Caenorhabditis elegans: one gene and its partners. The protein of the gene in region 3 purifies or fractionates together with the protein of the main gene of each other region. This does not show direct contact. Each region holds a gene or a part of one and is shown on either strand. Other genes may lie near its edges. The genes, in order: C04A11.2, nhr-202 and slt-1.

Region 1 (10,408 bases), 1.0 Mb from region 3:
AAAAAAGGTTTTATTCTCTAAAAACGAGAAAATTGTGCGTTTCAAGTTAATCTGCTGTTGACCCAAGAACAGACGATCTACCTGGTCACTACGTAATTTCCATTCCGACAATCACTCTATTTTCCTGCATTCCTCTCCATTGATCATTCTATAAATACTTGTTTCACCTTGAAAATATAACTGAGAATCAGTACATAACCGGTTGAATGACATCTTGTTGTTCCGAATCATACAAAGAAATAGCTGGTTATCACGTTTCTCGTGACTTTTAAAGATGATATTATTCTAGGGAAAGAACACTTTGCAGTTCTCAATACGTCTTCGAGAGAGATGCTGTGATACTACACTTTTTTTGGCATATTGCTACTGGCATTTAGGCCATTTACAGTTTCCGAATATTAATGTGCCTAAGAAAGCATTGCACAAAAATTGAAAATGAAATTTTTTAATCCATTGAATAGCCATTTCTAATTTATAAATACCCATAAAATTTTGATCTAAAAAATTTAGTTGGCAGACCTTGAATTATTTTCCTGGAAAGCATAAAAAGTGAGATTGCGCAACGATTTCACAATCACATTCACTAACTTTATAAACCGAGAAACAAACTTTTTGCAGCACTCCATTATGAAACTTATCCGTTTTCTTGACTCTGGTTTTTTTATCTTTGAAATTTTGTTTAAGCATTGGAAAATTGAACATATTGAAGTTCAACATTTTTTATTCCAAGATGACATGAATTTGTGGGTGTTTTGTTGATATCTACCGTTTTAAATTTTTTTTAACTTTTAACAATGCCAACCCAACAAAAGATTATAAGAATTCCAATACAATAGGCATTGTTATATTTATTCAACGTTTCCGAGATATATATGCTTTACTGACGAAAGCTTGACAAAATGTTTTCAAACTTTATGCCTTGTCACTTTCAAGATTAATATTATACTTTATTTTTCAGATTGGCAATGAGTTTTTCGAAAAAAGAAAGTAAGTTTCAAAAAGCGTGGTTTATTTATTCAGTGTATGTTTTCAGGTGACTTTCAAAAAGTGTATCAGAAACTGCAAGAGCAACAAAACGAGGAAAAGCAGTTGTTCATGAAGCAAAACTACGAAAAGTTGCCTTCGTGGTCTCGTCACGAAGTTTCATCTGGAATACTTGGTTCGCAACATGCAACCTCAGGTAAAAATCTATAGGAGTTGGAGAACTGTTACCGTACCTATCTTGAAAGTAGCACGCAAGATTTTTTTCGACTTATAGTTTGAAAGACAATTTTAGTAGTGCAGACGGTATCTGAAATTTAGCTTCGCGCAGCTGAAGGTGCAACTAACTTTTTGCACCACAAAAAATACAGCCAATTCAGAATTGTAGAAAATCCAAATGACAAATAACTTTTAGGTGTGCTTGAAGGTCTGTGCAAAAAAGTTCAGCAACATTTTGATGAGGATCGGGAGAAGTTTATGAAGGAGAACGCAGATAAGGTGTCATCGTGGTCGAAATGAGCGAAATGGTAGGCAGGTCAATTTTAAATTGATTTAACACCTTTTCATTATTTTTCAGATCAATGAACCAATCAACCGACAACTTCTAATAATTTTCAACTATTAAGAATCAAAGATTGCTTGAAATACATGTATTCATCAAAGTTTTAAAAATGCTCTTATATCATGATAACAAATACAATATTTTGGACGGTAATAATGTTTGGAGTGTTGCAGGAAATTATTGACAATAAAGTTTCCAAATATTTGCAATACCACTTTTTTTTTCGAACGCCTAAAATTGTATTTGGTACTATTTCACCCGTCTTCATCTTACGTGTACCACATGTTATGCCCTCTCCCCTTCCTTTCTCTCCTCTCGCTGTCTCTCTCTCTCTGCCGTTACTCTTGCATGTGTACGAGGCCACTAGTATACTCTTTCGTAGCACGGATGGCCGAGTGGTCTAAGGCGCCAGACTCAAGCGATTGCTTGCCTCAAGTACGAGGTCTCCTGGGTGTTCTGGTACTCGTATGGGTGCGTGGGTTCGAATCCCACTTCGTGCAGATATTTTTGCAGTTTTGGTGGAACGGTCAGGAATTTGGTCAGGAACGTTAGTTGACAGAAACAACAAGTTAAAACTGTTTTCTTGTTTTATAGAGTTTGAAATAATCATGTTAGAATAACCATAACATTTTATTTGCTTTTTTCGGATTCTTAATTTAGCATGTTCCTCAATAAAACAAAGCAATAATAAAAACCGCCAAAATTTCATTTCAGTTGGGGGTTCTATCTGTAACATAACATTATAATCATACAGCTTTGTATTTTCAGCTCATTATTTTTCAATAAATGCATTTTGTTTCATTAAAAAATCAAATAATCATAACTATTGTTGTTATTACAAAATATGCTAAAAGCTGGAATGTACAACACTTTTTAATGAGATCAAAATGGCACAGAACATTTTCAATTTACAGGACAATACATTTTTGATTCGAAGCAGTTATTGGTGATATCGTGATCGAGAAGTGGATCTTGCTCTCTGAAATGTTTCAACCATTTGGCAAAGGAAAAATTGTGAACAACCTACCAAACTATGCGTTTGTGCAATGATTCTATTGGCCTTTCTATCAACATTGGCAATTCTTTGATGAATTCGGTTTTGGTAAGATTGGGATTTTCGAATATTTCTGAAAATTGGGATTTTTTTGTTTTGAGATAATTGTTCTCAAAAAACATACTTCATTGTCATCTCCTTCATATCTTCCTCATAAAAAGCTTTGACTGCCGTTGAATCAGCAAAGAGCTCTCTGCTAACACTTTCTACACTCCTTTGTCCACTGGCCACTGCTCTAGCTGCGAGCTAAAAATAATTGTCTTCGATTTGAAAAAAAAAAAAAAAAAACGTATCCAAAGACTTTTCAAGAAGTGCACTCACTCGTTTTCGATGCTCGATTTCTGCTCGTTTCTCAGACGCAGCTCGAATAATGCTTTGCCGGGCTTCGACGCGTTCGATGAATTCTGGGCGATTTCGTTCGAGATGAATTCGTGGCGGGCACGCTCGAGCCCACTGATCATCCTTCATTGGGGAAATGTTGAGATGCTCGATTGCTGCTTCACTGCGTGTGCGGTGGTATTCTAAAGTTAAGAATTAACTTGAAACTGTGTATGATTTTTCTGATATCACTGGTATCACTGCTGATATCACTGACATTCATTCTCCATAAGGTGTAACAAATATTTTAATTTTTTGCCCTACACCTTATTTGAGGTCTCACTTTCCAAAATAACCAGTCAAATCAATATTCAATCTCAAGTTTGCCAATTACGCCACTTACGGTTAACTTCAGGCTGCTCCTCATTACGATCTTCATTATTACTTTCTTCATCCACAAATAGCCTTCGTCTAGACTGTGATCTTCTAGAATTGTTAGCTGTTAATTGTCTTGGAAGTGTTTGTGATTGGTATCTTGCTGGACGCGAACGAGTTCCAATCGGCTCAGATTGAGGCACTCGGATCGTTGGAGGAAGTCTGGACCGGTGATTTGAAGAGGTTCCGGGCTGAAAATAAATTATTAAATAAATATAGGAGTAAGTCTGTTCAATTTTACAAAAACGTAGTCTAACTGTACGATTGTATAACATCTAAAAATCAAAAAGCTTAGTTTATGCAGGAACAGCAAAACAAATTATTTATGCAACTTGTCTAATTATTCCCATTTTGCCTGAACTTTATAAGTTTGCTTTTTATGTTGTAAAACTAACGGTCACTTGTGCTGCTGGGGATACGTTGCTGGAGCTTGTCCTATTTGTGACTGGCCTCACGTTTCTCGTCATATTTGGTGTTCCAGTAGGTGTTCTGTTTCCTGATGCAGCTCTAGTAGATGTTCTAGCAGACCTTGGCGTTGTTAGTTGTTGCAAAATATTTCTGACGACTGGAGTTGAGGTACTACTACTTGTGCTCGTACTGCCACTGGATGCCATATCTCGTTTGGTGGGCGTTACTCTCTGGACGCGTGTGCTGCTTTTTGTGACGCTACTCGCTGTTGACCCATTTCCATGTTGAGATTCAGAAGAATCCATTTCACTTGTTCTGAAAAAAAAACAATATTTTTTGAGAGACATTCTTGTTCACTACATACGAGTTGAGAGATTTCTTGAGAACTTGAATATATTGTGCCTGTTTTTCAACAGTTTTTCGAAGCTCCTGAACTTCCAACTTTAATTCTCTGCAGGTGCGACATGAAATGTGTAAGCTTTGCGTTGAATTGCACAAATCTGAAAATACTCTAACTAAGCCGTGTTTCACTTTTGGAGAGCCTACTTCTGTTTTCATCCTGCTCAGTATCCACAACAATAGTAGTGACATTTGGTTCTTCCGGACCTCTGCAATTATTATGTCAGTGTTGTATGTGCATAAATCAACGGAAAAGTAAAAATGAAAAAAAAAAGTAAAAAAAGTAACCTATGAGATCGAGGAGTTTTCAACGGAGTAGATGTGGATGGTAGGGGTCCAATACGTTGTTCAGTGGTTTTGTAGGAGCTCCTGAAATTATAATTAAAATTGACAATGAAGTATTTAAAAAATCACCTTAACTTTTTATACTGTTTAGCTTACGTTTGAGAACATATTATTTTAGCATGTTTAGATAATTTTCGTTACTCGACACATTTTTAGAAGTTAATTTTTAAACGAAAACGTGATGTATATTTTTGAATTCTCCGACTGACATGGCCTGGAAAATATCGATTATGTGCCGAAAACGTATAGTTTGAAATTGATTTTCTAAAAACGTCGTTCAATTTATTTAGTAAAAATAAGATTATAAAACATGAATTTCATTTTGATGGCGATTCGAAGGAAATAAGAGCTGTGACACGAGCTCAACCAAAATAAAGTTAAAAGTTACATGGAAAAATTATAATTATTGTCATATTGTATGCGTTTGATGTGTTTTTATTTTTTATTTTTTGTAAACTTTTTATTTTAGAAAACGTTTAGAATATTATCATTCTGAAATATAAAACAATTCTAAAAGTTAATAAACTTAAAACATACCAAAGTGTCATTGAGTCATTTGGATTCATATTTGATCCGTAAGCCGAGTCAACTGAACTGGTATCCGGGAAGTGAATTGAGATAGAAAAGGACGACAGGTGCGGTGCACTGGAAGGCGGTCTTGTGTCCTTGGTCCGAGCAGACGCTACCTATTAGCTCCTAAATACGTAATAGACTGTGTGAAACCGAGAGAGCACGGAGAAAATGAAATGAGGCAAGGAATACCAACAAACCAATTAGAACAGTGTCCTAATGCTAGGCTTGGATTTGAAATGGATAAAGGAAGAAGGTAAATGTGCAAAACAAGAACCGGCAAAACAAATTTGAAACCTGACAATTCAATAATGAATTCAATAATGTATACGACAATATTAATAGGTTTTTACAAGTTAAGGACCCTTTACGGCTAGCTAAAGAAAAACACACTCCAAAAACTTTGTCAACAAAGGAAATCCGGTGTGGATTTTGTTGATTTCAAAGTTCCCGATTCAGAGAAAAATTTTTGAAATTGAATACGGGATTGAAAAAAAAACAATTTTTCTTGAAAATATCAATAGCATATGAAACAAGAACGACCAAATTTAAACGCATCTAGTGCAAATATTCAGTCTTGATTTTGTGGAAAAATATCAAACTTGACTGTATCGTTAACAAGGTATGTTAGACTTTTTTTTTAAAATTACCTAGAAACTTACTAATTGACACAAAAGAAAAATCTTGTCAAATTTTAAATATATATTATTTTTCAGTAATATCATTTCTAACTCTTGCATAATGTTTTTTTTTGAAACCCTTTTCAAAAAATATTTCTAACTAACGCTATCCTTCTTTTCTCAAACAAAAGGCACTAGATTTACTATTCTCGTTTCGTGTTCAACGGAAAACATATTTTCAAGTATTATTTAAACAACGTTGAACTATGAAACTAGTTCAATTTTGACACAAAACACAAAAAAAATCAATAAATATCACAGTGAAGACAAGAAATATCTAGTGTGAGATAAGAAACTTGTTTTGTAACAAAAAAGTTTATTCCCCTTCTAAAATTTTATTAATAACCAAAAAACTTAATTGTGCTCTTTGGAGCCGACCCTATTTAAATGCACAACTCTGCCGCTGCCAAGGTCCGCAAACACACCACATGAGAATTGCGTACTATTCATTCAAATACGCCCTCCCTCCTTCTTTCTACTATCTCTTTTCACTGTTCACCTTTGTTTACCCTTTTTCGCCACGTTTGCTCTGCGCCCCTTGTCGCACTGACCATTTCGCTTGTTTTTCGACATTTTATCGATTTTTTGCGTAATGTTATTAGTGGCATTCTTGGAGTTCTTTTGGTGATAAGAAAATTGACGATCTCTAGGCCTGTTAGATTTGAACTGTACGTTGTGGAAATAAAAAAGTTCTGCTCCGGTAGGCAAAAACATGTTTCTTCAAAAAAATAGTTATTGTTTGTATATTCAAAACATTGGAAATTTCAAAAACCCGTTGTAAAATTTGAATAATCAGGGAACCATTTAGGAAATTAATGAAACTCCCGGAACGTTTCTTAGAATTTTAAATTTGCGATTTCTTTTTTTTTCAAGCCTGAAAGTCATTATTCAAAATGTAGAATGAGAACTTGAATTTTATTTTTTTTACGTTCTAAACACTTTTTCTTTATGATTTTCTATCAGTTTTTCTTCTTAAAAAATTGTATAATTGTATGAAATTGTTCTTCATATTGGCACTGCCCCTGCCCAATTCGCAAAACAAGTCAAATTTGACAAATGAAAGGTACGACTCCGAAAAATGTGTCATTTTGCTCCATGTTTCTGTTAGACTTGTTGACACTTATTTATTATTTTTTTGAAAAAAAAAATATCCGACACCTTCAGTATTACACCGAATCAACTCTAACAAATTTCTATTGTATGCCTTGTTAATAACCATAAAAAATGGACATATCTACTGGAAACATCTGATTTTGCCGAACGGAAATCTTTGATAAAGTTGAACTTCATACTTGTTGTTTTTTCTTTTGAAATCTCTCTTTTTTCTTCTGAAAACGTCTGTCTCAACTTTTTCAAACAAAAAGTGAAGTTCGCCAAGAACATTTCACTTTTAATCTTTTCTTAACTACTCATTGAACAGATGATCGCTGAATACATGTTGTTTGGTTATTGAAAACAACGCCCCTCTTCTCCACTTGAATTATTTCACAATTGACAGGTTTAGTTCCGCGATCTTTTGAACCTATTGAATAAGTCCGAGATGGTTAGACATTTCATAACTTTTTTCATTTTTTTTCATTTAACATTTCTGCAACCCACATGTGTTGGTTGATGGGTTTGGTGGTTGCAATGCATAAAATATGCCGAAATCTTCCTCCCACTGGCTATCTAGTTTGTCCTCTTCATCATACTTTTGCCATCTTCTGATGAATTACATCGCTCTTCAACTTCCGACATGTTCGTTTTGCCCTTTTCCCCCTGACGATGAACCCATCATTTCTCCCCACTCTCTCTTTTTTTGCTTGAGATGACAACAGCTGTTTCTGCTGGGCGCATGCGATGAATGTATTGAAATATATCAAATACATAGTGGACCATTTCTTTCAATTCACCGCACCGCAATTCATTTTTCATTCCTCCTCTTTTTCGATTTGATTCCTTCTTTTTTAACCTTTCGTCTCTTTTGACTTAAGATTAATGAGCTTTAATTTTTGCAATTGGAACTAGGATTTTATTAACAAATTCCGGTATTTCTTTCTCGTCAATACTTTTTTAATTTTCAAATATTAAAACTTAGAAAAACAAGTTTCACATTACTATGTATAATTATATGATGATAAAATAGTATAGTGGAAACATAAAAAGTCAAAAATGGCAATTACCCAGTTTTCTCCTATAAAAAATTTCTCAAAAGCCCAACTTTTTTCTTCCTCTTTTCTGGCAAATGCTGACTGTAAATTTGAAAAACTAAAATATCGTAAAGTGTCTTACTTGGATAATTTGTTTTTTGCACATTTTTTAAGTTAAACTATTTCATGATTGAGGCTTGATTGGGCTTAAGCTGGAGCTTAATCTTTCTAATAAAATTGAGTTTGCATTTAAAATTGTAGTCTTGCACTCAAAATTACATAATCAACAATGCGATATTTGTGCTTTCGGTTAGCCATTTTTCAGAATTACAGTAGTTGAGTATTAAAATGACCCCAGAGCTATTTTTTCAACCAGCATTTCTATTCTACTTTTGACAAGACAACATTTTTAATTTTTAAAAATTCCTAGGATTTAATAAATTGTAAACAGCATTATTTTGGTGTCCCCTAATTTTTTACAGTCTCAAAAAACAATTTTTACGTCGTCAATAAATTGAGATTATGTGTCTAAGCGTAGATGATGAAAGTTAAAAAATGTATTTTTCCTTGCCGCCACCTGTTTTCAACTGAAAATATGCAGCTGTCAAAATTTTTTCCATATACAAGTAATAACATTTTTCATTTCCAAAGGATTGCCCCATTGAACCTAGCACTAGATTAAGGGCAAGGGTAGAAAGGCCACAGGACGAAACATGCTTCTTCGTTTGTTTTATGGATAATCGTTAAGTTTTCCACGACCAAACACATTGCCAGTCCTAACTTTTTTGTGTTTTTCTGCTCTTTTGTCGTAGTGGCAAAAAATCAGATTTTTTGCTTTTTGTTCTATGTTTGTATGGGAAAAGTTGCAAAAAACATTTTACTGAAAGTGTATATACCTTAATGAACAAAAAATATGCGAACTAGAATACTGATATATACAGATTGAACATTCTAAGGTAAATGCTATTTTTTTCATTGGGAGTTTTATTCATCACATTTCTGAGAATGTAAGCAAAAATCCGAGATCTGTCCAATTAAAATTTTTTATTGGCTGTGGTACGGTGCTAATTTTTTGCATACTAGTATAGTTTTCCAGATGAGAATTTCCTGTTCAGTTTTCACGCCATTTCCATCCTAACGTACAGTTTTGAAGCGATTGATAGATTATTCAAATAGTAGTATTTGGGCATGTGTTGCCGCAATGCCATCTTCCATCATGTTCAACAATTGTGGTAGTCAAAGGAAGACGCAGACGACGTATTGCGTCGAAATGATGATCGAGTTGATATCAGTTGTATTTCCTCTTATTATACCCGCCGTGTCCCTTTCCTCCACCCACACTCTCTCTCTCTACTTTTACGACTGTACTTTTCGGTTTGATGCCGGCACTGATACGTTTGACGCAGGGACGAGTACCTAGTCAACTTGATCCGTTTAATTCTTATTTGTTGTGAGAGAGAGTTTTTTTTGTTGTTTGAGTTGTCCTGTTCTTTTTTGTTCGGTAAAGTGGATGTGATGCGCTGATTTTTGTTGTTGTGGTTGTCATTTCCAAAGGTTTTTGTTCTCTCGGAACTTTGTGAGACTCATTTTTCACAGCTGTTCGGTTATGTGAACTGACCTGCAAAACGGAAGTCGCTTTTTTTTTAAGATGTCGCAAAAATTTCACTACACAGCTGGCGGTAACTCTTAAAGCTTTTCAATATTTTTTTACTAATGTTAATCAAATAATATGTCCCTAGTAGTAAACATTTTTGTTTAACTGGAGTAAACTGTCCTGAAAAAATACTTGGCCAATTGCCAATTTTTGATTTGAGCAAAAATTTCAATTTTTAAGTCACTTAGTTTTATTTTTACAATCAAAAGTGAATAGGTATTTAAAAGTTTCACGACCACTACTTATTTATAACTTCCTCTCTAATAAAACTTTTGAATTTATACAAGTGAGCCATATATTTTTAGTATTGCGGGCAGTTGATGGCTGTTATAACTGGTCCATGTTGATTTTCCAGTATTTTTTATACTTTAAACGTACCACGAGTCATGATGTTTTATCAAAAATTTAGCATGGTTTATCAGCTTAATAATTTATTTCCCTAACCATGCACATATCGCTTAACGCCGAGTCTAATTATTTACCTAATTTCTGTCAAATTCGCCCTCTCCGCAGCACTTGCGTGCACTTTTTCTTGTCATTATTTCACGTTTGTTCCACTCTCTGCCAATAATTCCAGTCGTTTACCGGCTTTGCACCTGTTACTCACCTTTCCTCTTTACTTCTCCTCCTCTCTACCCCCACCACCCACCGTTCGACTAATTCCTTGTTATGTACCGTACAACATTATAGTCAATCGGTTGACGGCATCGTTTAACGTGCTAGACACTGAGTATTAGTACCAGCAGCTACTTTATGCAATTCCCTTGTCGTCTTCATCTATGCTTTTGCCTCTTCTAAAACAGCATTAAAATCCGGTTTCTTGAGTGAGAAGTGGAAGGAGACAAAGAGAAATAGACAAGGCGATCTTTTACA
Region 2 (9,946 bases), on a different chromosome or scaffold from region 3:
GAGTGTCCACAACTTAAATTGTCTTTTTTTCATTAGAAAAAATAGGTTTTCAGAATAAATGGGAAGTTTTCCTCACTTTCAACATAAAAATTCAATACACTGCATTTTCCCAAGATCCATTATCTCCAATATTCGGCAAAGACTTTGACATGTCTTTGTCGCAAAACAAGGTGCAAGACATACACCTAAAAAATCAAAAGATCATGTCTGAGGCCTCACACCTTTGTCTATACACACTGGAGTATGTTTATCAGATTTTCGGCACTTGTGCAAACATTCACGGATTGTTAGGCACTACAAACTACAAGATTTAAAGCAGGAGAATCGTTATTTGAAAGTTTGAATCTTTAAAGTGTGTTGTCTCACAAAAACCAAATCAAAGGATTAAAAGGGTTTAAGGACGATCCGTTTTTTAGCGTTATGGGCCCGGATCTATCAGGTACACTGCCCGGTGGTGAACCCACTGGGCTATAATATTAGCCACGTCCTAGACGGGGACTGTGGCCGATAATCCAGTCGTGGATTGCCCCACTTCTCAATAGAGGCAGGGTGAACCTAGAGGATAATGCCGGACGATTGCTAGCGGCCACCACTACCGACTGATTGTGAGCTATCCCAAAAACATGAAACTGTGCTAATGACAAATATATTTTACTATAATATTTCGTTGTTTAAGCAACATAAATATGAGTCGTTTCAAAAATTCAAAAAAAAAAACTATTGAAACTTTTTTGGTAAAAATTTCGTAACAGGCCGAAAAACAAATAACGAAACTACTCAATGTTTATCAGCTGGCGGCTCGACAATCAATTTAACATTAACATTGAACTTTAAAGTCGTCTCAAATAAAATAAAATGTTTGCAAATGAATCAATACTATTTAATTTACCCCTTCCTTCCGCAATACGTTTTTTCTTGAACTATCTGCGCATCCTCACTCTCTTTTTAGATGTTGTCATGAGTACGACTTTGAAACATTTTTATTCAAATACGAGCGCAATAAAATATTTATATTCGAACCTCTTAAATATACTAACATTTATGTAGTCTAGAAAAATATTTTTCTCTTTTAATGGTAGCCTTAAAAATACATTTTTTGGGATTTTTGAAAATATTAGCGTAGTTACAGAGACTGTGGTACATCGACCAGAAAGAAAACAATTGCTATTTTTTCAGGTAGTACACTTTTTTGCTTCTCAAATATAACCAACTTTTAATAATTTCCAATTTCGAAATTTGGCCACTTTTCCGTGTCACATCTGTTTGAAGGCGACTTTTTTAAAATCATTATCTTTTATTGCATATTTTGGTACTAGTCTGAAATCACCCCGCCACTTTTTTTTATCATTTTAATATTATCCATTTTAATAAAACGTGATGTCAATTTTCCATCTTTAGGCTTAGAAACGGTTATTTCCTAAGCCTAAAAATACAAAAACTCCACACGTTTTTATTTGAAAATTTATTTAAATTTAAAGAAAAAAGTGGCGGGGTGATTTCAGACTAGTACCCATATTTTGGTGGTTTATTTCATTTAATTTCGTTGATTAAAGTACATTTTTAACCAAAAGGTAACCAAAATACATCAAATTTGCTTACATATTTGTTTTAAATGTATCACATTCAACAAAATTAGGAGACGTATACTAACAAAGTGAAGATGCTACCAAATTCCAACAAAGTCAACTTCGGACCGCTGCGACACAGAAAAGTGGACAAAATTGGAGATTTTGGCTAAAATCAATGTAATTTTTGCTACATTTGGAACCGCTTAAAATGTTATGAATTTCAAGTTTCATTACGAAATTCATTTATTTCAGCCCATTTTAAATTTAAACTAAACACTGATTGCAATTTTTGTTAGTTAATGTTGTGTACTTAAGACTGGACGAGGAGGAAAAGACGAGTAGGTTATTACATTACTAAACTAATAATCAGGAATTGACAACTTAGTTAGTGAGTTCAGTCGTATGTGGGTGACATGGGTCGTAGACACGCCAATACCCAACATTTAATTTTTCATTCTAAATTTGACAAAATTATTTTTAGAATTGTCTACGTTCAAGTACATGTTCCCAAAGTATTTCTAAAGTGTAAAGAAATTTTTACCCATTTTTTGTGTAAAAAAATACTCGATTAAACTTTTATTTGTTTATTCTGATTCTTCTTTATATCAAGTTAATTTTGTGAATTTTCAAACAAAAATTTCAATTTTTTGGAATGTTAAAATATCTTCAAAAAATTGTGAGAACCCGCGCGCTCAGTTCCTTGCAGAAAGTCCCCTTTCTTATCTAAACCTGTATCAGTTTTTGTTCGGAAAAACTTCAATTTCTAATCTCTAAAATTTACGTGCTCACTACAACATACACATTCTGTCTCTCCACTGAACTATTCAGTTAATGATTGTGAGCAAATTTTCATAGATCAAAAGTGCAAACACGTGATATCATCGTCTCGCTAGTCTCTGACACATTTCTTTTACTTTTTGTTTTCAATTTTTTAAACTTTCCAAAAAAACTAACTTTTCATACATGAATGCCTTGTGCTCATCTAGCTCATCTTTTCCCGATCTCATAGTTGCCGTATCGGAAAAATGCCCGGTTTGCTGGAAACACACAGCACACGGAATGCACTTTGGAGCATTCACTTGTCGAGCTTGTGCAGCTTTTTTCAGGTGAGCCTGTGCGCAATAAAATGATCAGAAAGTGTAATATAATAGAAAAATTTCAGACGTTTCGCTACTACAAAAAATCTTAAACCCTGCAAAAAGAGCAATGTTTGTGAGTTTACCAAAAATGGATATACGAGTTGCAAAAAGTGCCGACTACAGAGATGTTTTGATATTGGAATGAAAATTGACAGTATGCTCAAAAAAAGTTTGTATGAAAGAGCAATAAGTTATTTTTTCAGATTTCCAATTTGAGAGGGATCCCTATAAAAGCGGAAAAATTCCATTTGTAAGTTGGCCGTCGAATTTTTTTAGGCCAGGATGTTCTAGGCCAGGAAAAACTTGGCCACTGATTTCTAATTTTATTTTTCTTGGAAAAACATTTTTCCAGACTTTGGACACCTACCTTGACAGGCCCAGTTTGATCATTTTCACAGCTCTTGCAGAACTTGACTCACGAGACTCGAAAGTCTACGTTGACGTTCAATTTTTAATTGATCGAGCGTTCAGGGAGCTTTTACAGGTAATCAAGAGTTCCAAAAATATTCCTGCTTTAATAGATAATTTGAATTTTCCGCCAAAAATGTTTTTCTCAGAGAAATTGAATTTCCCGCCAAACATTTTTTATTCCAACAATAAGAGAAATTGAATTTCCGCCAAAAATGTATTTCTTACAAAATTTGAACTTCCCGTCAAACATTTTTTTCTTATAAAATTTGAATTTCGCGGCAAATTTTTTTTCATAAAAATTGTCTTTCCCGCCAAAATTTTCCTCGAAAATTTGAACTTCCCCCAATACTTTTATACCGACCACAACAAGAACTTATTGCCATGCTCCCGGAAACAAAGAAAAATCGATATTCCAGGGCTGCGAATCACCTATCAGACAACCGAACATCTTGAAAAAACTGGCTCTAGGCCTGGAAAAAATTCGCAGTACTCAGTGCAATGTGACAAAAATCCTGTCAAAATTCGGGAAGGACGAAGTTCTTGCAATGTGGGAAACTGATATGTTGAAGATTGCAAAATGGTTCACATATTTCGACAATTTCCAGAAACTTCCATATAATCTTCAGGTTTGTGCCGGTAGATCAAACTTATACTAATGAAAAAAAAAACTTTTGCAGATCGATATGATCAAGCAAGTCTGGGCTATTTGGGCGGCAATGGAAAAGCTGGCAAATACTGCAAATGCTAAAAAAAATTCCACATGCGAAAGTGCGAATGTTGTGCTTCAGATTGACGATGATTTGGTGGCCTGTGAACAGTCGATCGAGATCGATCTTTCCTGGTGCTCGAGTTATAAAACCGAGCAGTTGCAGTTGTGAGTTTTGGAATCCACAGCGGCCGACATCGATCGAGGCTTGCGATAAATGTCGGCTGCTTCTTATCATATACCCGGAGATCAACGATAATAACATTTTCAGCTTCGACTTTGACCATCAAGCTCAGCTCGAATATTTAGTGCAACTAATGGTAGATCTCAATCCAACAGACGAAGAACTCAGTTATATGCTATGCCATATTTGCTTCGAACATATCAAAAAATCATGTGACAGGTTTACTCAAGAAACCGTTGAGCAGCTTCAAGACACCCTTTCTGATCATTTACATGACTACTACATAAACCATGAAAACCGCCCGACTTACTCAGGAAGGATCGTTTCAATGATAAAGCTCAACAATGCTTTTCAGGTTTTTTGTTCTATGAATTCTAAAATTAACCTTTTTTTGAAATTTCAGAAGTACGTCCAGCGGGAACGACTGAAATGTGAACTGATGAGACTGTTCAAAGTGTTATTCGTGGAGTATTCAAATCCTGAATTATTTGTGGATTATTGGTAGTCAATGGAAGTGCGGAAGATCTCAAAAAATTATGTTTTTTTTTTCTAAAAAAAAATCATTTGTTTGTATCTCAACATGCTTTATTATTACGGCAAAACGACGAATAAAATATTTTAATTTGAATTTAACTCTGGATTTTAAATAGAATAAAATTTTGAATTTTGCGTGAAAATATAATACTATATTGGACATAATTCAGGAATTCCAAAATTATTTTTTTGAAAAAATTAGATTTCCGCGGTAAATTTCAGAAAAAATATTGAAGTCTAAGTTTCGCGCCGAATTGTTTGAAAATTTTGAATTTTGCGTCAGCTCTCGCCGAGCTATTTTTGAAAAAAAATTACAAATTTTTCGAAAACTTCAATTTTGCTGAAAATTAATTGAGAACGTTGAACCTTGCGCTGAAATTTCTGTAAAATGTTTTTAAAAAATGAAGGGTTTTGCTCAAAAATAATCACGCACTACAAACTACAAAAACTACAAACTATAAATAAACCATTATTTTTAAATTTAAAACCCTATGTTTCTTGAGCATTTAGAAGATAGTGATGCCACTTTTTACATTAAAGTCGACAAAAATTTTTATTAGGTCACTTTTTCCTATTATTATACTCTTTGATCTTTCAAACTGTAGGGCACCCACACATACACTACAAAATACGCGTTTTGTCCTTCCATTTTCTCTGCGCTCTCTTCAAAGTTCAACAAATAATTTTTTCATCATATGGTTACACCGATTTGAAAATGTCTTTATTTGATTTTTACGCTGGTTAATTTATGCTGAAACAATACATTAAAAATACATATTCCAGGAAAACAAAATGGATACCCCTTGCTCATCCGGCTCCTCACCACCGGACCTCACCATTTCTACCACTAAAAAGTGCCCGGTTTGCTATAAGCCGCCCCATGGGATTCATTTCGGAGCGTACACCTGTCGAGCTTGTGCGGTGTTTTTCAGGTAAATTTCTAATTCTAATATTTTAACAATATTTTACAAAATTCCAGGAGATTCGGAGCTTCAAACAATCTCAAGCCATGTAAAAAGAACAATGTTTGCGATTTTTACAAAAATGGATATGTGAGCTGTAAAAAGTGTCGATTAAAAAAATGCTTCGAAATTGGGATGAAAATTGAGAGTAAGGGATCTGGCTCCCTATTAGTACTAGTTTTTTTCAGACTTTCAATTCGAAAGGGACCCATACAAGAGAAGTTCAATATGCATCAGTCTAGCTGGAAGAATTCCACCGGTAAGTTGTCTTATAAAAAAACGGAAAATTGTTATTGAGACTGAAATAAGTGGCCCGACATCCTCCGGGTTCCACGCCTCACCATCAAAAACCCAAACTCAAGGTCGGGCCATGCACATACAATTTCCAGACGCTTGAAACATTCCTTGCTCGACCAAGCTTTATAATTCTCACTGCTCCACCAAAAGATGCACAAAATCCCAAGGTCTATATCGATGTCAAATTTTTGATTGACAAGTCCTACGGGGAGTTACTAAAGGCAAGATATTTCCAGCTAGTACAAGCTTTAACTAAAGTTGTGTACTTCAGGGCATTGAAACACCTATTCAAACGTCGAATATTTTGAAAAAGCTGGCTTTGGGTTTACAGCAAGTCCGGGGGTCTCAGAGAAAAGTAACGAAACGGCTAGAAAAATTCGGAAAAGATGAAATGTTTGCAATGTGGGAAAATGATATGCTGAAAGTTGCCAAGTGGTTCACCTACTTTGAAGATTTTCAACAGTTTTCTTCGGAATTTCAGGTAAAGTTTAAAAATTTTGCAATGTTTTGTGTACAAATTACAATAAAAATATTTTTTTATTTATAAAAATAAAAATAAATAAAAATATTTAGATAGAGATTATTAAAAAAGTTTGGATTGTCTGGAATGGTTTGGAAAAGCTGGCAACTACCGCCAAAATGAGAAAGCGGATGAATTGTGATGATATTCTTATGGTATTACAAATGGAAAATGATCTAGTGGCTTGTGGGAAGTCGGTAGAGTTCGACTTATCTTGGTGCTCAAATTACAAAGCGGAGCAGTTTGCATTGTGAGCATTATTTTAAAAAAATTAAATCATTGCCTATATATTAAAAAATAGTGTACGTCTGTTGACTACGTCATCAATGGGCGGAGCCTCTCCATTTGTGGCGAGACTCATCGTTGCGAGTCCCATCGTGGCGAGACGCATCAAAAGAAAAATATTTCGGCAGGAAACTGAAAATTTTCTAAGAATACAATTTTGGCGAAAAAATTAAAATTTCTGAGAAAAGTTGTTAGCGGGTCTTTCCAGAAAAATCTTGAAATTTCTAGAAAAATCTGGAAAATTTTAGATTTTTCTGGAAACTTCTAGAGTTTCCTACAATAATCAGGAAACTTCTAGAAATATGTTTAGAGTAATACAAACTTGAAATTTTGATTTTGTTCTGAAAATTAGCTGAAACTTAATTTATAAAATTGAATTAACCGAAAAAATTGACTGAAAAAAATTACCCGAATTTTTAGTTTAGTCTCAATTTGGCGGCCAATTTAAAAATGTTTTTGAAAAATCCAATTTCACTCTACAACTCACCAACTTAAAAACGTAAGACTTGAAAATTCATCAATTTTGTTTTACGAACTTTTCGAAAAACATTACTCTCTTACTATTTTTTCAGCATCGATTCAAATTGGAACAAACATGAAGAGCTGCTGGAATTGATGGTACAACTCAACCCAACAGATGAGGAACTTTGTTACATGCTATGTCATTTGTGTTTCCAACAAATTAGCAAACAATGTGACGGGCAAATACTTGAAGCCGTTGAGCAATTTCAAGATTCTATATCAAATCATTTACACGACTATTACTTGAACCATTTGTCCCGCCCGAATTATTCCGGAAGGATTGCTGCTTTGATGAAGCTTAATAGTATTGCTCAGGTATTTTATATTAAACCTTGTCTGGAAAAAACTCTGAAATTTCCAGCAATTCATCTACCAAGACCAAATAAATGTGGAGATTTTGAAAGTGTTCGAAGTGTTTTTTGTAAACTTTTCCCATCCGGAATTATTTATGAACTACCAATAACGAATTCATAATCTGTAAATAAACACCTATATTCTTGGCACATTTTTGCTCTTTTTCTAAAGTACCAAGTGCTCTTCGCACCTATTGTTTGCACTACAAACTACACTATATTATTCCACATCAGACATTTCTCGTAGAGTCTGCGTCTTCTTTTAAATTTCTCGTCATATGCTCGGAACTACCTTTACAACTTTTTTTAAAATCGGAGGTGCTTGTTTTAATTACTTTGAAAAATGACGTTATCTATTTTTTTTGAATCGTTAAACTTTTCAAAAAATATTATTTAGATTTTTCGTTTCTGAAAGAAAATTTGTTTGGAAAAATGTAATTGTTCTTGTTCGTTGACATTATTTTTAAACATACACAAAATCTCAAAATAGTTTTGAAACTTTTTTTTTTTGGATTTTTGGATTTTTAAAATTTTCATGTGTCATTTTGTTATTTTCAGCATCAAAAATTTCAGCTCATTTATGGAAAATCCGATTTTTTTTCTAAAAAAACCTGAATATTTTATTTTGTTCCCCAGCACTTTAGGATATTCCCCCTAAAGCAAGTAAGCTGTGTAAATACTACCAGGTCCATTATAACACCCGCAGAATACCCGAGAAAAGTCGGCAATTGCAAACATGTGGGGAAGAGACCAAAGAATCAATGTACTTTCTTTTGAATGCGTCTGTGTTTTGATGAGTTGAATGACGGAGACGATGACCTTATTCGATTAGAACCACATGGTTTCGCACTCCTGTTATTAGTGAAATTATGTCCGAGAGTATTTGGATTTGAGAGATTTATGTGTTTTTAGATGGGTCATTTGAAGAAATTTTTTATTTTGTTAAAAACTCATGTTAATGCTTTCTTAATTTTTTTGTCATTTGAAAAAAAAAATTTAATTTTCAGAAAATGAACAATCCTTGCTCATCTTCACCCCCAGACCTCACTCTTTCAACAATAGAAAAATGTCCAGTTTGCTGGAAGCCTGCTCATGGCATGCATTTCGGAGCATTTACATGCAGAGCTTGTGCAGTATTTTTCAGGTGAACTCTTAATTTGTAAAGCATCCCCTAGTCAGCTCATAAATTTCAGAAGATTCGGAGCTTCAAACAATCTCAAACCATGTAAAAAGAACAATGTTTGCAATTTTGATAAAAATGGATATGTGAGCTGTAAAAAGTGTAGATTACAACGGTGTTTTGATATTGGGATGAAAATTGATAGTCAGTAGAATTTGTTGGTATACGTCTCAGCAGTTTTTATTTTCAGATTTTCAATTTGAGAGGGACCCGTATAAGCAGAAGCTTGAAATGCAGGCGGCTTTGAAAGTTATTCGGAACATACCACAGGTAAGTTTTTGAAGAATTTTTAGCACTTGGCAAAAATGGTCAATGGGCTGTGACGTGATAGTGCAGCCTAGAAATTCAATCATTTCCAGACCCTAGACACCTTCCTCGGCCGGTCCAGTCTCATAATGTTCACCGCTCCATCTTTTGATGACTCTCCAACGGAAGTTCACATTGATGTTCGATTTCTCATTGACACTGCGTACAGGCAGCTTTTGAAGGTAGGAAGCTTTTTTTTTAGTTTTTCACAAAAAACTGATATTTCAGGGTCCCGAAACGCCAATTAAAACTCCAAATGCACTGAAAAGGCTTGCGATTGGGCTACAAAATCTTCACAGTGCTCAGGAGAAACCAACAAAAGTTATGGAAAAATTCGGGAAAGATGAGACTTTCGCAATATGGGAGGACGATGTGCTGAAAACTGCAAAATGGTTCTCCTATTTTGATGATTTTCAAAAACTTCCCAGTCAATTGCAGGTAAGATTATTATTTTTTCAATAATGATAATTTGTTGAATATACAGCTGGACATTGTAAAAAAAGAATGGCTTGTTTGGAGTGGATTGGAGAAGCTTGCAGCACTGGGAAAAACTAGAAGACAAATGATGTATGAAGACTTTGCATTTGTACTTCACGTGGACAATGAATTAGTGGCGTTTAAGAAGACGATTGAAGTTGATATATCATGGTGTTCGAATTATAAACTTGAGCAATTGGATTTGTAAGTTTCATGTTTTCATGTTTGAAATTACGGATTTCCAATAGTTGCTCCCAAAATTAACCTAAAACTAAAAAATTAAAAATTTCCAGCTTCGACTGCAACTTCAAAGAACGTCACGAACAACTAGTTCAGCAGATTGTAGCCCTCAACCCAACCGACGAGGAATTGAGCTTTATGCTATGCTATTTAAGCTTTCAACATTATATGAAACATTGTCCGAAGCACAATGTGGAAATAGTAGAACAACTTCAAGACTCCATATCAAATCATCTACACGAATATTATTTGAACCATATGA
Region 3 (9,924 bases):
TCCTCCGAACAAAATCTTACCAAATCTACACATTTCCCTCCATTTTCACACTTGGAGTTCACACAGTCGTCAATATTTTTCTCGCAATAATCTCCTTCGAATCCTTTGTTACAATAACAGTTGAAGCGACCAGCTTGTGCAACTTTGCATGTTGCATTGTTTAAGCATGGTGAGCCGTAACAAGCATCGATTTGGTTTTCGCAATGAACACCATAGAATCCAGGAGTACAATTGCATGTGTATTTTCTGCTGCTCGTTGTTTCACAGATGGCATTGTTTTTGCATGGAGAATTGAGACAAAGATCGCATTTTGTTGCAAGTTTTGTTGGAACTTTTGAATCGCATCTTGAAGATAATTAGTTCGAAAAAAAAAATATATATACTAAGTTACTTACGTAAACTGATAGGGTTGTGCAGTTAGCAGAAGTTGATTAGAAACCGTATTTGGGTATTCACATCTTGCAATTCCAGCTTCAATAAATTTAGATTTGATCCATTTTGAGAACCATGCCATATTGCAGTCGCAATAAAGCGAATTGCTACCAACGGCTCTAAAATTCTCAGATTACAAAGACGGAAAATCAAAGAAAAAAAAGATTTACATGTGAGTGATACTAGTCAGATTTGAGAATGCGGATTGCGGCAGGAATGAGATATCGTTACCATGAAGGGAAAGAATGCGAAGAGCGTTCAATCCATTGAAAGCAAGAGGTTGCAAGCACTGGAAATTATTCATTATTTGTGTTGGTCTTGAAAATATCTCAATGATGGTTTGAATTTTCTGAATTGAAAAAAAAACTAAATATAATGAACATGAAATCTCAAAAATTGAACAACATATACTCGTATTTAAATTGTCAATAACAATTTATCATAAATTTTGTAATTTTGTAAAATTTTGTAATCAAACTGATAAGAAATATAGAAGCTTTCACATATAATTCAAAAACTTTGCCGCCAGCAGGGGTCGAACCTGCGACCTTGGGCTTATTAGACCCACGCTCTAACCGACTGAGCTATGGCGGCTGTTGAGAAAAGTAGCTAATCAGGTTGAAAAGAGATACGTGATGGTATAAAAGTTATAATAGGTAAAGAAGGAGTAGTGGATGGTGGCAAAATATTGACAATCTGTTCGGTCCGAAAAATTGGGGATGTACCGAAAATTTTATTCCGCTGAAAAATAAAACAATCAAAATATGCAAACTAAATTTGTTTCTTGCTCGTAAATTTGAAATTCCACTACTTTCAGCCACTTTTGCTTTTTCATACTGTGAGTTCCATTAATTTTCCCATATCCACTACCCCTTCTTTTAGTTATTTTTTGACTCACCCTCAGTTTGTTGTAGCTTATGATCAAAGTTGATAACCGAGTCAAATTGGAGAACGTATTATTTTCCAGAGATATGAGTCGATTGTGTGAAAGATCTCTGAAACTCTCTACGTTCCCGCTACCCTCAATCAATCAACTTACAGCTTAGTAAGAGAATACAACCGGTTCAGATCATGAGCTGGGATTTCATTGATATAATTGGCATCAAGATAAAGCTCTGTAGTGTCGAATGGTATTCTACTCGGGAAACTGGTGAGATTTTTGTTTGAGCACCGGACGACACGATCCAAACAGGAGCATTTTGGTGGGCAAAGGTTACTGTCATCAGAGCATGTCTCTTCGGGGAATGCTGAATTGTAAATTCTTCGATTCAGTTTGTATAAAACAAAATGTGATACCTGCACACCGTTGCTTATCTGACTCATTATCGCTGTATTGAAATTGCTGGCATGGTGGAATGTCGATTGAATGACTAGAGTTTGATCGAAGCCAAGACATTAACGGAAGGATTCGGCAATCACAAAGCAAGTCGTTACCGATTACTTTACTGAAAACGTAGCATTACGTACATACCCTTTTAAAATTTAAAACTCACATTTCTCTAATACGGGTAGCTTTGTTGAAAAATATAGAAGAGAAGCATTGAATGTTATTTCCTGATAAGTCTCTGAGAAAATGAAACATGGTTAACTTTTGTAGTACTTTTCGCTGCCTCAACTTACAATATTTCCAAATTTGATTGCTCATCCAAAACCATACTTGAAAAATGGTGTAGTTTATTGTCATTTAGTCTTCTGAAAAATTTTATTTTTGAAAAATTGGAAATAGGAAAACACTTACAGTTCTCTCAACTTAGAAAGTTTTTCGAAACTCTTGTCGTTGATGAATGTGATGTGATTGTTTGACAAATCTAGAACTTCCAGGTTTTCTAGGACATGGATGTTAGAATTGAGATCGACGGTAGAGATATTGTTTCCAGATAAGAGGAGTTGTGTTGCAAAGCGGGGAATTGAAGTTGGAATAGTGTTAAGTCCACGCTTGCTGAAATTCGAGCGAGTAAATGTCAATTTTTGTATATTTAGGTACTTACTTGCAATCAACAGTTGTACCATAGCAATCACATTGAGTCGGACAAATTGAGTCGATAAAACAAGAGTCGGCGTACATGCTGACAAATGACTCGGAACCTGGAAATTGAGTTATATTGGATTCATTGTTTCCGAAATTCAAGGAAATAATTTGAAGTATTTTCCGGTGGTAGGACTGTTTGCTGGTTTACTAGAGATTCCGCAACATCTCAACTTTTGGGAAAATTTGTAGTCAGTTAAAAACTTTTTTTCAACGTAGGAGCTACGTTGAAATTTCAGATTGGCTACATGTGCAGTAAATGCAATATGCTCAAAAACTGGGTGCGAAACTTTGGTCAAACTTTGGGCTTTCATAGGAAGCATGAGCGGTTTCAGAGCCTGACGCCTGCCTCCAACCTGCAAACCTCACGTCAAAGGCTTGGTGTTTGCACCACATATGGCGAAAGGCGGTTCTTTCAAAGCGGCCGACAGTTTTCGGGTTTCGCGCAGAGTTATACAGGAGGCAAGGAAGGTGTTTTCGCGCCTGCATAAAAGCCTTGTTCAAAGCTTTGTGGCAAACTGTGTAGATTAGCGGTATTCTACGGGTTTATTTCATTTGTCTTATCTAATTGCGCAGATTCTGTTTAACTTTTTCAGGAAGCAACGCTCCTGCTTTTGATCTCACCTTTGCATTTGAACTTATTTGGCGGTAAAGTTGCAAATTTCTTTTTTCTCAGCCGTTTGGGTTGTTCACATCTTGCTCCACTTGTTTCAATATTCTTCTGTAAATTTATTTGCGCCAGCCATTGCAAATTGCAATCACAAATCAGTGGATTCTTGGCAAGATGCAGTGTACTCAAGCTGGTAAGATTTTGAAATGTTACTTCACTGATTGACTTGATATCGTTATCATATAATGACAACATGCTCAACTTCGGGACATGGTCAAATGTTCCCCTCCGAATGCACGTCAATTGATTGGCATTGAGGAGTAATAATTGTAAACTTCCAAGTCCCTCGAAAGTATCCGATTTCAAGTCGGTTATATTATTCCCGTAGAGCACTCTGGAATACAATTTGATGAGTTCGAACAAAAGTGACACCAATGAACTCACAATGTGTGCAGATTGTGAAGACCGAGAAACGCTTTCGGTTGGATTTCAGTGATTATATTTTTGCTCAGATCTCTGAAATCAGAAAGATGCAAAAACTGAAGACGCTAGATGAAAATAAACTTACAGTCGTGTCAAGTTCTTCAGATTTTTGAAGGAGTGAGAGGGAATTGATGAAATCTGATTTTGTTCGAGTCTTCTGAAACAAAAGAAAAATTTTCAGAACATTTTTTGACACTTCTTGGCACTCTTGGAAAGTTTACAGGTTCTCTTTTTGTTGTTGAGTCAATGTTTTTTTTTCTAAGACAATTAAATAGATAATATTGTTAACTTCCTAGAAATACGTTGTCTTGATGTAGTTTTAAGTTTTAAGAACGACGCTCAAAAACTTTAAGAGATTCTGCAACTTCTAACCAGATTAACAGCAACTTTTCGAAATTTTTAATTAAACGTAAAGCTATTTTCTTTAGAAAAAGTACTTTAAATTGGAATTTTTGAGCAATATGAATTTTGTAAATTTTCAAAAAAAAAAGCGTCACACATCTCTGATACTTTCAACACTTTAAAACAAAAATCACGGGAGGCTTCACAAAATAAAACCAAAAATTTCCCTATTTCATGTATAAGTTAACCTATTCAATTCATTTGAAAAAAATTTACAAGAACTTACATTTCTGTGGTAGACGGTGGAAGGTTTGTTGGTACGTATGTCAACCCGGAATCCCGACAATCTACAGTCGTTCCAGTGCACGTGCATGGTAGTGGACAAATTTCCGCAGTTTCGCAGGTTTTCTTATATCTACGTTTTCGGTTTCCGGAACACGTCATAAACTGAAAATTTGGAAAATATTTAACAACGTTTTTTTCCTTCAAAGTTAAAATTTACCTTGTCTTGGAGAATTTCTATCGAGGACCCTTGCAAGTTGAGTGGAGTTGCACAAACTGTTTTATTCTGCCCCTCTGCTTTTTCTAGCCATTTTCGCATCCATCTCAAACGGCAATCGCAATTCCAAGGATTATTGAAAAGGTCCCTTAAAAGCAAACTTCTTTAAACATTCTATGGTATGCTCTTTTTTGAAAACAAAAACAAGCAACTTACAATTGTCGGAATCTTGCATTTGAGGGCTCTTCAAATGTTGTTAATCGGTTTCCATTCAGTGTAAGTACTTCTAGAGACACCCAAGAAGAAATCACATTGTTCTCAAGACTAAAAGAAGAGAAAGGAAAATAGAATAGCCGGATTGAAAAAAACTTACCAGAAGATATGATTTTTATCCAAGTTCAAGACTTCCAAAAATTCAGGACCTTGTAGTTGTGCGTCAGAAACCACTGTTATGTCATTTTCACTCAAGTCTCTGAAAATGAAAATAATAACTAATTTGATTTTTTTTTGAAGAATAAACGTACAAGTGAGTAAGTTTCAGATTGTTCTGAAACACGTTATCTGGTAAATGGCGTATACGATTTCTGCTTAATCGCCTGAAAACTAGAGTTTATTGGTTTTCAAGACTACGAAACTTACAGCTTTTGAAGAAATACCAGAGAACTAAAACTTTGATTGTGAATAGTGACAATTTGATTGTCCATAAGTTGTCTGAAATTTAATATTTAATTGAAAAAAAACGGGTTGTTTTGTTTTATTTACTGTACTTCAAAGTGAAGGGCTGTGTTCTTGTTGCAAATATGAACCGACAAAAATATCGCAAAAATTGCTCTATTGAAATTGCGCCAAAAAAATTAATTTGAAGCCATGATGTTATACTAGACGTTAGTTGAGTTTTTTTCAGTTTTCCCAAACAAGATCTGATCTTAGGGATATTATCTCAAGTGTTCAAATGGTTCAACTTTAAAATTCGAGTGGTTTTAGGCTGTCCTATCACGGTTTGATCTACAAAAAATGCTGGAAATTTTGGCCCACAAAAAGTGACGTCAGAACGTTCTTAACCATGCGAAATCTGTTGAGAACCCTGCGTATCAACTCCCAACTAGACCTACGTAGATCAAACCAAAAAGGGACACTCTGACACCAAGTGAAACTTACAAAGCTTTTAAATTCATAAGACTGCTGAAATCGTTCGGTCCGATTTTGGTTATTTCATTGTCTTGTAGATCTCTGTAAACAACATTTATAATTTTTTCAACCATGGCAAACTAACAATCTAATTGTATCATTCGGGATATTTTGTGGAACTTCTGTGAGTTGTTGGCCAACACACGACACAGTTCGGTCCACGCACACGCATTCTGCCGGACACGTGGCACTTTCAGGTATAAGTAGAATAAATATGAAGCAAATCAGCATTCCGACATCCACAAATCCTTGGGGACAATGAAATTAGTAGTTCAGTTCTGCAAAATGAAGTTTAGACAAGTGGCGGGTGGTCCACTAATGTTTTATGAGATGTTTGTCTTGTCCTCCCATCCTGCCGGTCCATTAACACAACCTCGTGGAGACACGATTTATGTGTGGAATGGCGGTGGTTGTGAGGGAAAAAAGAGTTGGGATAGGGGTGGGTACGGACACGAAAACTTTCCGGGAAGGGTAGAAAAAGAGAAGCAGCAGAAAACTAGAAAGAGCGAATGTTTTAGTGTGATAATGAGACATTGGGATAGAAGACAAGTCCCACTTTCGTGCATCTTCCACACACCACTTAAACCAACACAAATGACAGATAAAAGAAGAGTTGTAGACTTGTGTGTGTGTGTGTGTGTGTGTGCCGGATGAGAATGAGAATGAAATGGGGTAGGCGGGTGACATTGAACACAATGATGATAAAGAGATTCTGTTCTCGTGTCTCGGAGCAAAACAATTGGATGGATGAGATAGCTATACTGATGGGTGTGTATACTAACTATTACCATGTGCACTTATTTAATATTCATCGGGAATGATAAAGTAGATGAGGAAGGGAAAATGTGCGAGGGTTCACACATTGGTTAGTCGTCTTAATACTTTATTAATCTCGTTGTTTGGATAATTAGCGAGAGAAACACAAGCGATATTGGGGGATTCAAAATTGTTTTAAAGGTGGAGTACCGAAATTTGAGACTTTGCTTTTTTAGACCAAAAGACTCCGAAACTACCAAATTTCGTAATGAGATGTTCAGAATGTTTTTCAAAAGAAAGTTATGGCCGCTTAAAGTGTTGAAAAAAAATGGTATATTTTTCAGCTAAAATCTCAAATTTTGGCAACTTTTTAGTTCGTTTATTGGGATGCTTTTTCGGTCGATGCGGGCACAAAATTGTATCATATTTGTGCCCGCATTGACCGAAAAACCATCCCAATTGACATAATTAAGGTAATTAATTGCGAAGACCTACACTAAAAAATGATCAACAAATAAAAATTAAGTTCCAGCCGCTGTGACACCGAAAAGTTGATAAAAGTTGAGATTTTAGCTGAAAATAGACACTTTTTTTCAAAAACGTTGAGCGGCCATAACAAAGTCTCAGATTTCGGTACTCCACATATAAAGAAAGGTACATGTAGTGCATGGCCGTGCTCCAAAAATATGAACTTTTGAGGAAATCCAAAGCAATGCCGCATGTTCAGATCCCTACAATGTTTTAATGCGAATAATTAAAACAAAATTATTATATAAAAAATGTAGAAAAAAAATTTTTTTTTGGTCGACTTCCAAAATTATGAGTGGCAAAAACTGTTTATTGTCATTTTATGACAGTAAATAAAAAAATTCAAAAAAAAACAATTTGAACATTTTTATTATAATATTTGGTCGTTTTGGGACCATAGGAATGGTTTTTAACAACTTCCCCACTGGCACTACATCACCTTTAAATACCTAACCTAACATTATGAATTACTCTTCATTTTTAATAAAAATTAATGGAAATATTAAATTTACGGTTCCTACCTAAATAAATGTTAAGGTATTTTTTCTCAGTAGTGCCATTTTAAGAAAAACAACAACCACTCATCAAAGTAACAGAACACATTTGGGAGAACAAAAAATAAGGGCGCGCTGCTTCATTTTTCCTATATAAATTGTCTCATATTACACGTTTGTTGAAAAGAGCTTTTGTTACTATTGCGAGAAAAAAATTGTAAAAGAAAAATTGTCAGTTCAGAGTGTTGTGGTTAGAAAAAAAATTGTGCAAAGGTATAAGAATAATGAATATATTTTAATTTTTTTAAACATCCAGAACAAGTGAAAAATAAACAAGTTGCAGTATATGTAATTGGGCAAATTAACATTTGCAAGAATTATGCACATTCTTCCAAATACCGTATTTCCTCTATTAGTATTGCACCCATTGTTTAACTTTTACAGCTCATATCTCAGTTATCGTTTGTTCAATTCAAAAATTGGTAACTATCAAAATATTTGTTTGTTTTTTTCTATTCTTTCGTAGTTTATAATGTATTTATATCTTTAAAATCAACCGAGATATAACGTTTCAAAGTTAAGTAGTCGGATGCAATACTAATAGAGGAAATACGGTAATAGATTTCTTTCAGTTTGTTGCATAGAGATTTTGAACGAAATATTGTTTAAGAAATTGTATACGGAGGGATCTAAGCATATACCTACTTCTATGTTTTAATTGATTTTCTCATTAACCGAAATTTAAAAAAAACATGCAAAAAAAGAGCTTCAAAATTAAGATAATACCTTCATACTGAATTTATAAAAAACCTTTTTTAAAATTTCAAGTTGAAAACCATTGAAAACTGTACTCACAAATTTTGAGCGAAACTCAACCGATTTGCATATTTTACGTGTATACTTTCCGTTCGCATCCCCAGAGTTTCTGATTCACTCGTGCCGCCAAACATAGTCAAACACCATCTAACATATATCAAAGAGTTCGAGAAATCAATAAAACTTGAGTAAACATGAAAGTAATCAAATACAATATGTAATGAAATGAAACGTTTTGTGTGAAAACTAAAGTTTCGAAAATGCTGCCCTATGGTCTCAATGAGTGCCCCCCCCCCCCCTCCTCCTCTCTTCAGTGTTTACTGTACGTCTGTGTTCATTCATCCGAGAACACTAAACGATTCTCACTGTACATAACCTACTCGGCGTAAGTTTCGATAATGGGCCCCCCGGAATCTATTATGTGCCTATTGCGGATGATGCTGTGTTAAACTGTCATGTACATTGTATGGTAAATACTGGTTAATCCTTGAATCGGTTTTGTCGTTTTTGAATGGATGTCCTTGTAACATATTATGAGAGATTGTGACTTGATTTTCGATTAATAGCTATGAAAATTTGAAGAAAAAATCTTTAATGATATAATTCATTTTCTATGTATCACAATTTGAAGCTAATACGATATTCTAATACAATACTCATATGTCATGTTTCATGTTTATACTGGCAGTATGGTGATTTTTCGCAAAAAAATCAGTTTGGCGAGTTTGGAGAGAAAGCACTTGGTTGGGTAGAAAGGGTGTTACACTTCATTCGGTCCAGCTTCCGGAATAACTGAAATTAATTTTTTTAATTCAGTAGCGATATTTTGTAATGCTTCAAAAACACAAAATGGCCCAAAAAGCCAAGCTGCCAACGTTATAGGTTTTAGCTAAACCTGAACTTTTATTTTTAAAAAATTGAGCTGGCAAGAACCTTTTTCTAGACTAATTCAAATCTATTCACGTTATGAATGTTTCGGCCATTCCGCCTTTGAATGGATTTTTTCACAGAATAGTTCTCTTCCGATTTTCAAAAAATGACTATTTTGGTCAATCTTTTTTTTTTTTTTTTTTTCGAAAGTTAAAGTACCAATATCCAAACTTTCGAAACAAACCTGTTCCAGAACACCCTTCTTCTTCAAATAAAACACAACTATTATAACAAATAGGAATAATGCTACAAACGAAGCTAACAGCACTTCACGCAGCTTCTCCTCGTTTACAAGCGTCCTGTCGAATGATATTTTTTCCACGGGCTGCAAATATATATTCTAATTTTAAAATTTTAATGTATACCTGTCTACCTCAAAAGAAAAATATCTGTGCAAATTATAGGTGTCTACTTCATGAAGAGCTTTTTCCAGCTCTTCTTCTCCATTGCTCACAACTGGGTCAAATTCTAAAGCGAAAATGACCACAGTTATGTTTAAGGATTTGGTGATGTTTTCAACCTGAAATTAATGTTTTGCATTATTTTAAATTTGCCAGTAGTTCGCTATTCGCAGTAATTTTCAATTCAGAAGTTGTTCAAACTGGTCCAAAAAATCCGAATAAAAAATGCTCCAAAATGTTTCAGACTTTTGAAGCATCTCAGCCAAAGTTTCACCAATAGTTCAAAAATTGACAATTTCCGAGTTAAACTTTACTTGCATGCTCAACGTTTTACGAATTACTATGTACATCATAAGAGCAATTTAAAACCTGTAAAAAAAATTTGTTGACTTCTACAGTTAAAATGATAACTGTTGAAT

What was found.
Region 1: the proteins of slt-1 (region 3) and C04A11.2 fractionate together in Caenorhabditis elegans (co-fractionation; one large-scale study listed by BioGRID). This does not show direct contact.
Region 2: the proteins of slt-1 (region 3) and nhr-202 fractionate together in Caenorhabditis elegans (co-fractionation; one large-scale study listed by BioGRID). This does not show direct contact.

Annotation. Positions count from the first base shown.
Region 1 is NC_003284.9:13,663,631-13,674,038, forward strand, and holds C04A11.2 (uncharacterized protein), read right to left. Parts: upstream 5,199-10,408; 5' UTR 5,069-5,198; coding exon 5,040-5,068; intron 4,527-5,039; coding exon 4,446-4,526; intron 4,367-4,445; coding exon 4,305-4,366; intron 4,259-4,304; coding exon 4,123-4,258; intron 4,074-4,122; coding exon 3,746-4,073; intron 3,542-3,745; coding exon 3,319-3,541; intron 3,119-3,318; coding exon 2,919-3,118; intron 2,844-2,918; coding exon 2,722-2,843; intron 2,671-2,721; coding exon 2,571-2,670; intron 2,523-2,570; coding exon 2,484-2,522; 3' UTR 2,328-2,483; downstream 1-2,327. Other genes in the region: C04A11.5 (Oligoendopeptidase F), read left to right, coding at 966-987, 1,034-1,180, 1,397-1,500.
Region 2 is NC_003283.11:457,266-467,211, forward strand, and holds nhr-202 (Nuclear Hormone Receptor family), read left to right. Parts: upstream 1-5,322; 5' UTR 5,323-5,334; coding exon 5,335-5,474; intron 5,475-5,521; coding exon 5,522-5,652; intron 5,653-5,692; coding exon 5,693-5,763; intron 5,764-5,893; coding exon 5,894-6,022; intron 6,023-6,072; coding exon 6,073-6,282; intron 6,283-6,374; coding exon 6,375-6,571; intron 6,572-7,178; coding exon 7,179-7,443; intron 7,444-7,489; coding exon 7,490-7,591; 3' UTR 7,592-7,698; downstream 7,699-9,946. Other genes in the region: nhr-203 (Nuclear Hormone Receptor family), read left to right, coding at 2,532-2,674, 2,731-2,861, 2,911-2,957, 3,060-3,191, 3,535-3,744, 3,796-3,992, 4,096-4,363, 4,412-4,513; nhr-201 (Nuclear Hormone Receptor family), read left to right, coding at 8,492-8,625, 8,675-8,805, 8,852-8,931, 9,021-9,149, 9,196-9,405, 9,452-9,648, 9,738-9,946.
Region 3 is NC_003284.9:14,670,262-14,680,185, reverse strand, and holds the start of slt-1 (Slit homolog 1 protein), read right to left. Parts: upstream 5,859-9,924; 5' UTR 5,812-5,858; coding exon 5,666-5,811; intron 5,623-5,665; coding exon 5,551-5,622; intron 5,104-5,550; coding exon 5,032-5,103; intron 4,989-5,031; coding exon 4,917-4,988; intron 4,865-4,916; coding exon 4,766-4,864; intron 4,717-4,765; coding exon 4,609-4,716; intron 4,541-4,608; coding exon 4,396-4,540; intron 4,341-4,395; coding exon 4,180-4,340; intron 3,709-4,179; coding exon 3,637-3,708; intron 3,585-3,636; coding exon 3,513-3,584; intron 3,463-3,512; coding exon 3,083-3,462; intron 2,518-3,082; coding exon 2,421-2,517; intron 2,372-2,420; coding exon 2,171-2,371; intron 2,125-2,170; coding exon 2,053-2,124; intron 1,998-2,052; coding exon 1,926-1,997; intron 1,878-1,925; coding exon 1,729-1,877; intron 1,680-1,728; coding exon 1,472-1,679; intron 1,428-1,471; coding exon 1,331-1,427; intron 1,032-1,330; exon of another isoform or gene 951-1,031; intron 722-950; and 6 more. Other genes in the region: C26G2.2 (Hyphal_reg_CWP domain-containing protein), read right to left, coding at 8,886-8,966, 9,289-9,429, 9,478-9,624. UniProt on the Caenorhabditis elegans protein: Functions as a ligand for sax-3 receptor during larval development. Acts via the sax-3/Robo receptor to direct ventral axon guidance and guidance at the midline during embryonic development.